Linked DNA regions of Lonchura striata. The protein of the gene in region 2 interacts with the protein of the main gene of each other region in a pairwise test. Links are inferred from orthologs where the notes say so. Each region holds a gene or a part of one and is shown on either strand. Other genes may lie near its edges.

Region 1 (7,758 bases), on a different chromosome or scaffold from region 2:
GGAAAGCTCTCTGGCGGAAGGAGAAGGTGGGTGGTGGGGTCTGGTAGTATGTCTGAAAAAAGACCAGATGGGGAGGATTACCCAAACTTCTTTACAACTTGAAGCCAGACAAGGATTTCTGCGCCACTCTGTGCTGCAGAGCTTGGACAGCAAGAAAGGATTGCAGCTGGAACTAATGCAACAACCACAGTGAGGGGGAGGCAACCTGGGACAGCCATGAGACACAGACAGACAATCAGAGCTGGCATAGGTGTGAGGAACAGGGGGCTGGAGGTAAGGGGGCAGGGAGCAGCCATGGGCCTGGTCAGGACACTGCAGCTGGGGGTCATGGAGAGATGTGTATGCAGTGCTGCAGATTCACCAGGAGACCATGGCCTGAGCAGCACATGCCAAGAAGCTGTCACCAACCCAAGCCCCTGGAAGCTGGGTGCAGAGAGGCAGACCCCAAGCTGCTGGAGGCATTGTCCATAGCAGAGCTGCCTGACCAGCCCCAGCTCTCTGACATGTGAGATGAACACAGGGGCTGGTTCCGATGTAGGGTGCTCCTTGAGAACAGAGCCCCAAGCAGGACCCAGCCTGCACGGCAGCTCTGCTCCACACTGCCTGGAGAAGCTGGGGGGCAGGGATGTCCCACCTGGTTGGCAGCCACCTGCAGTCTCTCCTTCTCAAGCAGTTTCATTCTCTAGGGGGATGGAAAACAGGGCACCAGTTATGTGTCTCAGAGGAGTGGGACAGGGGCCCTTCCCCTCGCACCCCCCTAGGACCATAGCAGCTGGGGGCCTTGCAGGAGGAGGAAGAGGGAAAGCAAAGTCACTATATGGCTGGGCCTGGCCCAGCCTTGCTCTGCAAGTTCAGCCTGGGGAAGCCAGGCAGTCTTGGCGCATGGCAGGAGAGGCTGCTCACCTCAATGGCTGCGTAGGCATCCCGGAACATCTCCCAGCCGCTGATGCTGCAGTAAATGCAGCCCATGGTCATGAAAAAGCAGAAGGAGAAGAAGTAGCGGTGGTTGTAGTGTCCCACACAGTTGTTTAGCCAGGCTGCCTCTGGGGTTAAAGGTACATAACTGTGACAGACCATGGGTCCAAACCCAACCCAGGGACCAGGGCAGTTCTTCTGCGCCCTGCTCCCAACACCCATTCCTATGCTGGCTGTCTCCTCAACAGAAGGGACTGGGAGAGAAGGGAGAAGCAATGCTGGCTCCCCCCAGGAGTGTGCCACTGGTTAGTACTGCAGAAGGATACGGCAGTGGTGGTCCATCTTCAGCACACACCTGGGAGAGAAGAGACCAGTGCCAGTGTCAGAGCCAGTGCAAGTGGTGTGTTTGGGAGGGGACAGGCACCCCCCAGCCCTGCAGGCTACAAGCGACAGGGCAAGGAGGTGGCAGCGCAGAGGAGAAGGGCCCCTGTCTCACACTGGGGCAGGGGGTGAGGAACAGGGTTCCAAAGGCTGCCCTGGGCAGAGGGAAGGTGCCCTACCTGTTGCAGATGCTGCAGTGATGGGTGCGAGCTGGCTTAGGGGCAATGCATTTTCTGCAGATGGACACGCCAGTGAGGTCGTTCTTGGCCTGTGCACAGGTCAGAAGAGATTTGCACATCTTAAACCCTGCATCTCAAACTCCTGCTCTCCTCTGTGCCACCCCGCTGCCTCCCCACTCTGCACTGCCCAGCCTAGCTTCCCAGATTAGAGGCATCCTGCAACAACATTATCAGGCTGTTCCCAGTGACCATCCATAGCTCACTTGGTGCCTCACCTGTGGTGGGTGCCCAGGTGAAGTGGTGATAGCCATGTAGTAGTGGAAGACAATCATGATGAGGTTCCAGTGTCCATAGGCGAGGTGCCAGCATATCCAGGCAGGTGTGTAGGTCTGCAGGATGAGGGGCAGCAGACAGATGTACACGATGGCCACAATAGAGCTCGTCAGCCCAATCACCAGTGCCACAAACACCTACAGAAAAGGGACCTGGGTCACTGTGTGGGTCTCAGATTCAGTCAAAGAAAGAAACTGAGAGTTTCTGGCCAGGCAAAAAGCCTGGGAAAGAATGTAAATAATCCTTTATCTCTCTTGTTTTTCACACTGTTTATAGTTCTATCACTGTGCATCAAGCACTTTGCACCAATGCTGTAGGTTGTTTTCACTTCAGAACCAATGGATTTGATCATTGCGAAGCTCTGTATAAAAGAGCAGCGTATTTTGAATAAATCGGAGTTTTACTCTCAGCAGCCTTCTGAGTCAAGTCTATTCATTCCCATCCTGCCTCGACAGAGATATCACTGGAGTGGGCAGAGCCTGCCCCTTGCTGCCTGGGAAGAGGCACGGGCAGGACAGAGCCAGAGGAAACCAATCTGAACCGCACACTAAGGCTGCAGCTCACTTCCTGCCCGAAGGACAGGCAGCCCTGAGCCCGCTGCCCCAGCACCACGTGTACCCTGCCCCATGAGGGGAACTCACCACACCAAACCATCGGGTGACGTGGTCCACCAGCCAGTAGACCGGCTCGAAGAGGGAGTCAAGCACCACGTCGCCATTGGTGAAGGAGTTGTAGAGCAGGGAGCGGAGGCAGAGGTGCCCGTAGTGCCACAGCTGCTCCACCTGCCGCACCAGCTTGAACCGCCGCCGCCGCCCCAGCCGCAGGCACTTGAGGAGCAGGCGCATCACCGCGGCGAACATCCGCTGCCGGCTCCTCATCCCCGCCACACCACGCCTGGGGGGACAGGAGCTCGGCGTGGGCAGGGCACCCTGCTGCCTGGCTGTGCCTCGGGAAGGGCTTCCCCTCCCGGCCGTGCTGATGCCGGTAGTGCAGCTCCCTGAACCGACAAGGATGCCGAGCTGGAGAAGCTGAGCCCAGGCTCCTGCAGGCTGCGGGGCCGCTGTCGCCGGGATGTCTCTTTGCACGGAGCAGGGGGCACAGGCCCCTCAGCATCTGGGCTCAGGTGCTCTCTGGTCCCATCTCGTCTTTCCCAGCGGGGAGGGGGCCGGGGGAGCGACACGGAGAGTCTGACTCAGAGGAAACCAGAGAAGGCATGAACATCCAGGATGCTGGGCCATTTCCAGAGATGATTTCAGCCCTTCCCAACATGTTCATGAACAGGGGAATCCACACAAGGAAAATGTGGAGGAGACAGTACAGGATTACCCCTCCTCCCCTAGCCCCTCCTTAAAGTGAAGGATGCTACTTCCCTTCACCTCAACTTCTGGACCAAGCTGGTAGAGGCCACCTTCCCAACCTCACAGCCTCACTCCAAGAGTCCCAACATTTCCTCTTTCTCCTTGCCTGAATCATTGAACAGTACCACACACTAGCAAATGAGAGGCCCAGGGACAGCCCCGGGCCAGTGCTCCCCTGCCCGCTGAGCCCCTTGTCCTGCCTGAGAGCTTTGCTGGGAGTGACGAGGAACCTGATCTGGCCCAGCACATGGGAAAACGATCTGCAGGGCTGGGGCCCCCAGGCCTCTGTGCAGGCAATACCCATCAATATTAAGCAGCGAGGCTGCCCCGGGGTCCTGCCAAGGCACGTTCTGAGCTTGGGCCAAGCACTTGCCTTGGTCTGGTGCCAGGCACCGGTGCCAGAGCTCAGGGTGCCTCCAGCAGGGATCGTCCCACTGCGCTGAGGTGCCCACCAACACAGCCCCTGGGGAGCAGCAGGGAGGGTGAGGGCAGAAACTGCACCATCCACATGGGCTGCCCAAAGAAGCCAGGGCTCTCCTCCACCCTGGGCCTGAGGAGTGTGGGGTTGACCCCAAAGTTGGGATCTACTGGACATGAGGACCCCACACCCAGCAGCCCATTCCAGGTCACAGACATGGCTCCTGCCCTGGTATGGCAGAGGTGGGATATGCAAACATCTGCATCACCCTCTTCTCCACATTTCCCCTTTTGTATGCCAAGAGCTTTTCCTTGAAGCTCAGCAGGTGCAAAATAGAGCAACAACTTCCTGCCGTTCAGCCTTTGGATGGCACACGTCCCCGTTTTGTCAGTGTGGTAAAAGACAAATCACAGCAGCCAGAAGCAGCTGTTGAGGTCAACCCTTTCCTCCAAAGACACAGCACTTTCCTGTCCCACAGAGAAACTTCCTCACCTACAGCAGCGGCAGCTGCTGGGCAGGGAACCCACAGGGGAGGCAGGAGCCCGCTCCAGAGCAAGACCCGCTGTCCCCAGGCACCTGCCTGAAGACAGCAGCGTAAGCACAGACACGAGGCTCCAGCAGAGCCACGCAACTTTCTCCTGCCCAGCCGGGCCCTGGGATCCACCCCTCGCCCTGCTCACGGCGCGGCACCGAGCCCATGGGAACGGGACAGCAACCAGCACAGACAGGAGCACTGGCAACATCACACCGAGGGGTGGGGATCCTCGGATTTGGCCCCACCCCGGGCAAAGGCGAGGCCTTCCCCCGCCAGGTCCAGGCCCCCCGGCGCAGCCCTGTGGCACCCTCCGGTGGCTGCACAGCGCCCGCTCCCCCGCTTCAGCAGCATCCAGCCCCACTTCTCTGTCCAGAGCCAGGACATCCCGGTGTTTAGCCCCATCCTCAAAGGCTGCCCACGCCGGCAGCCGCACCGCCTCCAGCCCCGTCACAGCCCGCAGCATCCCCCCGCTGCCCCCAGCCACAGACCGCACCGCTTCCCGGCTCCGGCCGCACAGCACACGCAGCATCCCCATCGCCTCCCGGCCCCCGCGCTCCTCGCCCCGCAGCCCCTCTGTATCGCCGCCCAGCCCCGCGGCAGCCGCAGCCCCGACAAGCCCGCAGCCCCTCGCAAGGCCCCGGCGCCGCCGACCTGGGCCCGCGCCCGCCGCCGCCATGCCCGGGCCCCGCCGGCCCACGGGCAGCGCCCGCGCGCGGCACGCCGGGAGCTCCGTCTGCCGCCGCCGGACTACAGCCCCCAGCATGCCTCAGGTCGGCTAGGCGAGAACCAATAGCCGCGACGCTTACAGCGCAGAATTGACGTCCAGAACCAATAGGATGAGGGCTTGCTGGTGAAGCGTTGTCGGCCGCGGGCATGGCGCCGCCCGCGCGGTACTGCGTCCCCGGTGAGTGCGGCCCGGCGCTGTCCGGGCTCCCGGGACTGGGGATGCTACCGCCCGGAAAGGGAGCGCAGTGGGCTAGGAGAGGAGTAGGGACGAGGCAGTGCGGAGGGGCTTGTCCCGGGGATGCGCCGCACTCGGCCGGCTGGGAGCGGGAGCTGTGCCGGAGCGGGCCGGTCCCCGGCAGCCCCTGAGCCGCTGTGTCGCAGGTGAGCGGCTGTGCAGCACGGAGGAGGCCACGGCTGGCAGCGGGACCTACACTCGCCATGGCTTCATCTTCTCTTCGCTGGCTGGCTGCCTGGAGAGGAAGAACGAGGACAACGAGGTGAGCGCGGCCGCGGCACGGCTGCTCCTCCCCGGGGCTGCGTGCTGTGCACCCAGGCTGCACGGCCTCTCTGGAGACTGGGCTGCGGCAGGGAGTTGGACTCCGATGGGGTTCGGCCGGTGGTTCTGTGCACAAGCTGTGCCCTGTGCTGACGCTCGTGTCTTGCCCTGCAGCTGCCCGTGGTGTCGGTGGTGAGAGACAGCAAGTCCCAGCTCCTGCCCAACGTGGGGGCTGTGGTGACATGCAAGGTGGGGCGCTGGAGCACTGCGTTGACAAACTGCATGGGCCTCGACTCTGTCTCATACTGAGCTTTGTTCCTGCACACGGATAGGGTGGAGTGAGGAGTCCCTGGGCTTCTTAGTGCCTTCTGTACAACTCCCACCAGGGCAGGGGCAGCCCAGGGGCTCCCTTGAGTTTCTCACTCACCAAGTGGGTATTGGCATGAGGGACACCTGCCCTGAGACTGAGGTGGGCTTGAGGGGAGGATTTTCTTTGCTCTCCTTCCATAACTCCTTCCTGGGACAGGGAGTATGCAGGTCAGTGCCTCAAGCAGCTTGTAGAAAGGATGACATGGACCAGGGATTAGTTTCCTTACATTCCTAGTGGAGGGAGAGGGACTGAGATCACTGCAGGTCTCAGCCTTATTCTGGTGCCTCGAATTGCACAAATATAATCATCCTCACCTGGCTTGCTGCCAGGTGTCCCACCGTTGCTTGGTCACAGCGGGGAGGAGGAGGCCAAGTGAGACCTGAGCTCCCCATGCAGCCCTGCCTGCTCCCTGCCCTTTCCCTGCCTGGACCACTGATTCCCCTTTTCCTACATGCAGGTCTGCAGTATTAACTCTCGCTTTGCCAAGGTCCACATCCTGTATGTTGGCTCCACGCCGCTGAAATCCACCTTCCGGGGCACCATACGGTAGGGAAAAGGTTAGGATTCCCCACCCTTCAGGGGGAGGAAGGCTGTTGTGGGCAGTGCAGCTGGCTGCCCTGAGCTGGAACTCTGCCCTGAGCACTGGGCTGGTGTCCAGCGCGTCCTGGTGAGCACCCAGGAAGGCTGAGGCAGCTTCTGCCACAGGCGGTTGAGTTGTCTTTGCTCATTGGCACTCAGATCCCTCCATCTCCTTTTTCAGGAGAGAAGATATCCGAGCCACAGAGAAGGATAAGGTCAGTGAGCCACTGCCAGTTGCTGTTGTACACCCATTGCCCTCCAGTTCCTGCTTGTGGGGGCCCTGTCCCCCCACTGACAGCACCCTGGCGCTGTGTGGCATTGCCTGCTCTCTCCTGTGCAGGTAGAAGTGTACAAGAGCTTCCGCCCCAGTGACATCGTCCTGGCCAAAGTTGTATCCTTCCTCCTCAGGGACACCGTGTTGGCTCAAGCTCCCTTGTGGAAGTGTGTCCCTTAACCCCTGTCCAACCAGATCTCCCTGGGGGATGCACAGTCCAACTACCTGCTGAGCACAGCAGAGAACGAGCTGGGTGTGGTGGTGGCACGCAGCGAGGCAGGTAAGGGCAGGACAGGGACAGAGACAGGGACTGGGCTGAAACAGTTCTGCCTCATTCCTGCCTTGGGGGCAGCTGATGCAGCTGCCTCCCTCTCCATATGGAGGAATGCAACTTTGGGAAAGAGCAAGTCTGACATTACGTGCCCAGGGGTGCAGATGGTGCCCATCAGCTGGTGTGAGATGCAGTGCCCACGGACACACACCAAGGAGTTCCGTAAGGTGGCCCGGGTGCAGCCCCAGTTCCTGCAGACGTAACAGCTGAGGGGGGCAGGGGGCTGCAGCACTGTGGCTGTGGAGCCAGAGCAGCCCCTGGGCTCCCACCTCCTTCACAGGTTCAGCCAGGCCTCCACTGGCAGGATGGGTTTGCTACTTGTGGATAATAAATTTTTTTTGAGAGCTTCCTGCTTCGTTCTTTACAGTAAGTGGGGGAGCCAGGGCTATCCATGCACTCTGGTCTGGCTCCCACAGCACAGCAGGTGAGGGAACAGCTTCCACAGCAGCAGGGGCAGAAGGAAGCACATTTTCACTGCTGGTGAAGGGGAGTGATGGAGTGACTTTGCTGCAGTGACGCCAACAGCACAGAGCCCCAGGCTGCAGCTGTGTTGGGCACTCCTCACCAGGTTGGTTTCCCCACACAGGAGTCAAGCCTGGTGCAGAGCCTGTCTCAGCTCACCACTAACCAGTGTGGGCCGTGGCTGAGAATAGCCTGGGGACGTATCTCATCTCCTCAGGCCACACATGCTTGCCCTGCCCTATGGAACAAGGGTGTGGTACACACAGACCAAAAACCAGAGCATGGCAGGGTGTCACCCTCTTGGGCAGAGATTGCAGAGCTGAGCTTTGCTCCTTGAGCCTGGCACAGCTTCTGCACCCTCCTGTCTGTGCCCAGCAGGGATTGCTGCCTTGTGCACGTGC
Region 2 (6,854 bases):
AGATAGGGATCTTTAAACATTATCACTTATTTGAGAAAAGCATCCCTGTGTTTGTGTTTGTGTGTGTGTGTGTACTTATGTCTGTCTCACTCTTTTCCCCTTAATGCATTTTATTTCTTGCTTATATGAAAGGCATATTGATGCCTCTCATATAAGAGCTCTCATAAGAGCTGCTACGTGTTTGGTTTCCTTGCTGGTGTTCATTTCTCTCCAAGTCCACCCCACCCTTCTGGAACTCATGAAATATCCAGATCACAGAATTACCAGTTTAATCAATTTTTTCTTTTCTCTTAAATAAAGATCTTGTTACAATAAACTAACAGCAGTGTTTCTAATAAAGTCTCTGCTGTTAATATTTAAGAACTGTTATATGTAAAAAAGATACTCAATTTTAAGTACTCAAGATTCATTTTAGTTGTGTTTGTTAAAGAAACCAGAAGTGCTTATATAACTTTGATACATTTTTAAGACTTTAAAATATGTATAAACTCCATCCAATTTTCTCTGATCACAGCAGAGAATTTCACCTTTTTGATACAGCAGATGAAAGTCAACATCTAATTGTGCTCTGGTTAAAACTGTTTCAAATAAAACAACAATAAAACCCCACACACCTCAGTGGAACTCCTTCTTGCACTACAGAAGACAACATTTTAAAATAAAGGAATTGATGCTGAAATAGAATTGAAAAGTAAAATCTGTGTATTTCAATTTAGAGAACTTAACTGCAACCAGATTTAAAAAAGGTTTAATCCAAACACATTTCATCCATTTCAAATTTTAAGGTAGCTAGGATATAATTATATTGCACTGTTTCTATGCTGCACTTTCCCTCACATTAAAAAAAAAAACAAAGTTTACTACAGTACAATTTCACTCTGATTAGAAAAGTTGAAAATACAGTGTACAGAAGTGCCTGGAAGAAGTTTATTCATTGTCATGTAGGCTTGTTTTGGGCAGGCTCAGCCAACCTCGTGGGCTTGTCAGCAGGGAGCTGAGCCCTGCAGCTCTGTGGCAGCCCTGATGGATGTGTGCTGCTGTGAGCACAGCAGTGAGAGGGGATTTGGTACTGCAGGTCAGCCAGAGCATGTCTGAAACTCTTTCATATTTTTTTACAAGGAGCTTCTAACTATGAGGATGCTAAATATGTTACTTCTTAAAATGATATTCTGGGACAGGTGAAGGTGAGAGTTCTTCATGGGCAGTTCTGCCTCTGCAGCTGTATCTCCACATGTCGATTATGCCCTAGCTGAGTTGTAAACTACACAGTTATAATGGAGAAGACCTGGTAGTAGTACTACTATATCAATTTTTATATCATAACTTATGACAGTCCATAATGGATACTTCAAAACTACAATGATAAAAAGGTAATTTTTGAATAGAGGATTTAACCTTCATATGTGATGTCTTAAAAATTTGAAAGATAGTCTTGATTTTTTATGTATAAGAAAATGTACTTCAAACCAAGTGTGGAAATATTTATTAATGGAGATCTCAGACTGAACAAATTTCTTGATTAAGTTTCTGTTGCTTGAAATGCCAGAACAATTTTCTTGCCACAGAAAAATTTTCTTGCCAAAAAACATTTATTGTATGAATATTAGCTGGAAAGTCTGAGAAGGAGGGGAAAAAAAATAAACCCTAATTTCCTGCTATTCACTTTTATGACAGTCTTTTGATTTGTTCCCTTTTAGCTAAGTCATTGCTTTTCCTCACTGTTCCATGTACAAAGCAAACTGCACACCAAAACCACACACTTTATATGATTCAGAAGTTGGACAGGACTAGAGATATTATTGCTATTTGTTTCAATAACATAAAGTCAGCAAGTTGCCTTCCTTTCATGTTGGCATGATAATAATTCTTATAAATGTTACTTTAATACACAATTCTTTACACATTTTATGTTCTGCTCCCACCATATGTTACATAAAATGCAAGAGAAAACTAAGTTTTGAAGAGTCTTTATTGGGCCTCATTTTCTTTCAAATATGAACAAGTAAGAAAATTATAATAGACATGAAGCTGCATCCAAACACAAATCTACACTTCATTCCAAAAGTGTATTTAGAAATTGTTCTATCTTCTCTCTGCTATGGTCTTCTTACAGTGTGATTAAGCTAACTCAAATATATATACAAAAACATAACAGGATTGGAGTAACAGAATTCTCTGAACTGCCTGCAAAAACAAGGATTTGCCTCACAAGCAAAGCAAAATGTTCACTTTTCTGCAAAAAGCAAGTGTAGTTATGTTTGAAACAAACTATATGGAGACTATAATAAATCTTGAGTGTTTAGATGAAAGTTGTTCAAAATGAAAATCCACATGACTTTGAAAGCAATTGTTTAATTAGTGAAGAAACTGGAACAGCCCATGGCTGGTAAGCCATTTTAGAAAGAGAAGGGATACATTACTGTGTATTTGAGTAAATGTCTTGAAGAATAGTATTATGTGACTCAGAACAGAAAATTACTGGGGAAAATACATGTAGCCTACCTTTCTCCCCCTCTGCTCAAGTATCCAAATGAACACAGATTGGGTATCTATGAAAAGATATAATTACAGCTTTTTAAAATGTGTCATCCATCCTCTTTCATTCTACAGCTAAATTAGCACAACCCAAGCATACAGTAAAAATATGGAGCATAAAATTAAGAATATTTTATCTGTCTATATGTAATAGAGTCCGTGTTTAGAAGGAGTACGGGAAGATCAAGGCCTTGGCAAAATCCTACTGGAAACCTGCAGGACTTAGGTGCAAAGTCTTACTGGGTCTTCTGCAAAGTGAGAAGCCTGGAATCTCGTCTGAGCTTTGGTGGGCACAGGGGCTGGCTGCTTACTGCAAAAAAGAGACTTGTTGACAAACCACACTGTTGCCAAATCCCTAAGGGGCCTGCTCTGCTGGGGCCTCACCCCCCAAGGTGTTGAAGGGTGCACCAAGGCTATCCGGGATTCTTTGCACCAAGGGAAGGGCTTCTGCCAGGTTTGTGAAACAAACTCCATTGCAGTTAGAATTGTTCCAGAGCAAGCAGATAGATTCTGCCTGGCTCTCTTGAAACTTAGTAGAAAGAGTGTCTACTACTTGGTGATTAATTTTTATCGTGTTCTCTTTAACATAGAAGCTATAGCCACCTTAAGATTTTAAAACAGCTGTTGTATAGGTAAGAAAATTTAGCAGTGTAGTGCCTTACGTTGCAAAATGAGGAGTTTTCTCCTGAAATGGGCTATTGTGTAAATCACGGGTTTGCAGCTACCAGCAGTAACAAATATCAAGTGCTTTCAAAGCAATACTAGAACTGGAGCATTCCTGTATTTCTAACTGTAAGCCTGTCTTTGTTTCCAGAGAATAAGGAATTCTGAGAAAAGGAGACAGGTCGTTGGAATGACATATGCTTTCTACCTTTGTCTTAGTAGCTTCTTTTGGAAAACAGAATGATCAAAGTGTTCTTTTTCTGCTGAGGCAGTCACTCCTCCTCATCAAGAGAAGCATGCTGCAAATTGGAAACAAAACGGGACAGCAGTCCCATGCATATTAAAACCGAATGCATGAGAGGTATGAAAGTGGGTGCAGATGTTAAAGTGCCAAAAAGGAAAATTATCTTTTAGGGCACTACTGTAGGGACATGGCATTTCTATCCGTGCACAGCGGGTCCATCCAAACCCCCCACCCCGGCGGGCAGCAGCGCAGAGCAACGTGCCCCCCGCAGCTCCCGCAGGCTCAGCCCCCCGCGGCTGGGCTTCGGCTGCCGCCCGCACCAAAGGGCCGCGGGGGTGCCCGGGGGAGCCGTGCCAGGCGCAGGGCAGGGAGGCTGCGGGACCCGGCGCGCTCCCCACCCGCTGCCATGGGCCCTCCTGCCCGCCGGGCCCGCTTGTTACATCCCCTGTCCCATATAAAGCCAGAGGGCGGGGAGGGCCTGGCGGGGGGTCTGGGCAGTCGCTGCGGTGCCATGGAGGCGGCCGAGGACAAGGCGAAGGCGCTGCGGGCACCCAAGTGCTCCCGCTGCCGCAACCACGGCTTCGTGGTGCCCGTCAAGGGCCACGCCGGGCACTGTCCCTGGAAGCTGTGCCTGTGCGAGAAGTGCTCGCTCATCACCGAGCGGCAGAAGATTATGGCAGCCCAGAAGGCGCTGAGGCAGCAGGAGACGGAGCCGGCGGTCAGGGCGGGCGCGAAGCCCGTTCCGTCGGGCGAGGGCCGTGGGGCGGCTGCCCGAGAGGACGGGGCCCCCGAGCACTGCAGCCACGAGAGGAAGACGGGCGCCCAGCCCGACAGCGGCGGCAAGGGCACGGCATGCTGGGGGCCACCGCCATCTGCCTTCAGGGAGGACGGTAAGGACCTGTCCCCAGAGCCTTTTCCCAGCATCTCCCGCTGTTCGCTTTCCCCTGTCAAAGGCGCCACTTGTGCATTTCGCTGATTCCTCAGGCTCCGGCTGCCCGGGAGCCGCTCCTGCATTCTGTCCCGCTTTCCCTCCCCGGAGGGCACGGGGCTGGCATGTCGGTTCTGCAGCCTCGTCCGCCCCCGATGGCTTCGCGCGGGGCGCAGGGCGGGAACAACGTGCTCAGCCTCGCCGCCCCTTGCGAGCTCGAAGCTTAAGCAAAGTGGCTTTTCACTGAGAGGGAGATTGATCTGGGAGTGCAGCAAAACTGGATCTGCTCTGCTTGTTTCTTTGAGTGCTGTCACAGTGTTTATAAACTCACAGGCACAAAATTACAGCAGCAAAAATGCTAAAAAGCTCAGTGATGGCATGTAAATAGGTACAGTAACTGCTGCAGCTGTCTGTAGCAAGAATTTCATGCTAGCACTGTAGAAGAAAAAGACCTTTTTGCCTTAATTCATACCTGTAACAAAAACTAAATTTGGTTGGGATAACTTGATGTAAAAGTGCATTTGGTATTTAATAGCAGGGCATGCAGTTGTATGGTCTGTCATCTCTTAAATGGCTTCCTTTAGAGTCTTTATTGTGACTTTTCTAATTTATTATAGTAACTCCATTCTATTACTATAAGAATGTTGCAGAAATTCTTACTGATGGCAGTAGTCATGAATCTGAGACTCTGGAGAGTTGCCAGACTGCAAGACAAAATGTTTGTCCTGAGAAGACTTACTTTGGACATCCGTAGTCCTAAGAGAATACTGTTACCCTTTTTAGCTTTGTTTTGTAATAAAAATAAGATTCAAGAAAAAAAGTGAAGTAACTGATTTCTGCTTCAGATTTGTTTGTGTATGAGCCTAAAACTGTGCGTGCTGTAAATTAACCTAAGAAGTGACAGATAGGACTGCGATATTAGAATGCTATAAAGTTAGAACTCGGCTATTTCTGTGGAATTTTAAGTACCACTAGAATCAAAAGTTTAGGTAGGCTGTTTTGCTCCTGTTGATGTACTGAAAGAATAAGATTCTGCAGCCAGTGCTTTACTAAGGACAAACTTCAAAGCACACAACGCAGAAAATAATGCAGAATAACTGCATTACAGTGTCATCTGCTGTACCTTTCCTTAGTTCATTAAAAAAATCACAAAATCAATTCATGGGGAGCTAAACATGAAACCAAAGGACCAGATTCTCCTGTCTGAGAGTGCAATTTTTTCCTGTAGCTACTTCTACATAACTCCATAAAATAACATGGATAATTTTATTTGTTCTTTTCTCACTGTTTCCTAGCTCAGCCTGCTTTTCCTCCAGAATACACTGTCAACCCAGAATACCTGGAGAGAGAAATCCCAAAAGTGTACCCGGGATGTTCTGGGGTATATCCTTACCACCCATTTCCCCTGGGATTTGCCATCAATGAGTCAAGCAGTGGGGAAGCACCATCACCTCCAGGGATATCACTTCAGAGAGGATTCCGACACATTCCTAGCAGCTATGTGCCAGGGAATGCAACCACTGTATCAGTGAGTAGCATGCTTTTAATTACCTGTGCTAATACTGCTTTATTTTAGCTGCCTTCTCTCTGTTGAAGTAACCATGAAGAGTCATTTCCCTTATCAGTTACTTCATACTATTTTGATACCATTGATACATTGGCAAATGATGATGTTAATAATCTGACCTGCTTTCAGTACAGTTCATCAGTTGATGCTAAGGTAGAAAAAAATCAAGACAATAAACAAAACAAACAAACAAACAAACAAAACAAACAAAAAAACCCAATAGATGCTTGTATTGAAATTCCCTGACACGTTTTAGGGGCTACTGAGAAAGAAGATGGCTGCTCCTGGTTTAAACCAACTACTCCAATGAGTTGCTAGAACAGGTGACAAGGACTTAAAAGGGTCAGTTTTCCTCTGATATGGTCTGAGAAGTTCTTGCTCCTCAGTTGCAGCACAGGCTTTCCATGTGTCAATATGTGCACTGACTTGGCAGCATATGGACAAAAACCCAGAAATGGTCTGATAATGCAGATGTATGCTGGAGAGAGTCTTTAGATACAAAGTGATCTGCTTCATGTGTTTCCACAGGTTCCAGATGGAGCTGGAGATTTCTCTCAAGGATACTACACTCCTCTGCATCAGTTCATCCCACCAGGTTTTCTGACAGGGATTCATTACATCCCAGCTCCGGTTTCACTGAACATCCTGGCTGAAACAACCAAGGAGGTACATGGTAAGAGAGAGTCATGTTAACCTGGTTTCAATATCTGAGAACAGAGATGGAAACCCAAGAGACCCTGATCCCAGCTAGTTTTGACCTCTGTGATTGAAGCCAGGCCTGAAGTCCTGACTGGACTGGGCCAGATTGTAGAGCTCTGGGAAGGGCTGACCTAGGGGAGGCAGCCTGCCATGCTTGGGCTTTCCAGCTGACAAGCACCTCAGTCTGAGGCAGATGCCAAAGGCCCCAGGACTCAGAG

The links.
Region 1: the proteins of DMRTB1 (region 2) and EXOSC1 interact in a two-hybrid assay, tested with the Homo sapiens proteins (2 studies listed by BioGRID). The link is inferred for Lonchura striata from reciprocal best matches to the Homo sapiens genes DMRTB1 and EXOSC1.

The regions. Positions count from the first base shown.
Region 1 is NC_134609.1:18,916,331-18,924,088, forward strand, and holds EXOSC1 (exosome complex component CSL4), read left to right. Parts: upstream 1-4,967; 5' UTR 4,968-4,992; coding exon 4,993-5,023; intron 5,024-5,226; coding exon 5,227-5,342; intron 5,343-5,515; coding exon 5,516-5,590; intron 5,591-6,168; coding exon 6,169-6,257; intron 6,258-6,471; coding exon 6,472-6,505; intron 6,506-6,630; coding exon 6,631-6,681; intron 6,682-6,759; coding exon 6,760-6,844; intron 6,845-6,947; coding exon 6,948-7,105; 3' UTR 7,106-7,239; downstream 7,240-7,758. Other genes in the region: palmitoyltransferase ZDHHC16, read right to left, coding at 1-52, 635-682, 904-1,037, 1,242-1,270, 1,476-1,564, 1,751-1,945, 2,450-2,686. UniProt on the Homo sapiens protein: Non-catalytic component of the RNA exosome complex which has 3'->5' exoribonuclease activity and participates in a multitude of cellular RNA processing and degradation events.
Region 2 is NC_134611.1:9,254,838-9,261,691, reverse strand, and holds the start of DMRTB1 (doublesex- and mab-3-related transcription factor B1), read left to right. Parts: upstream 1-3,848; coding exon 3,849-4,332; intron 4,333-5,665; coding exon 5,666-5,898; intron 5,899-6,465; coding exon 6,466-6,610; intron 6,611-6,854.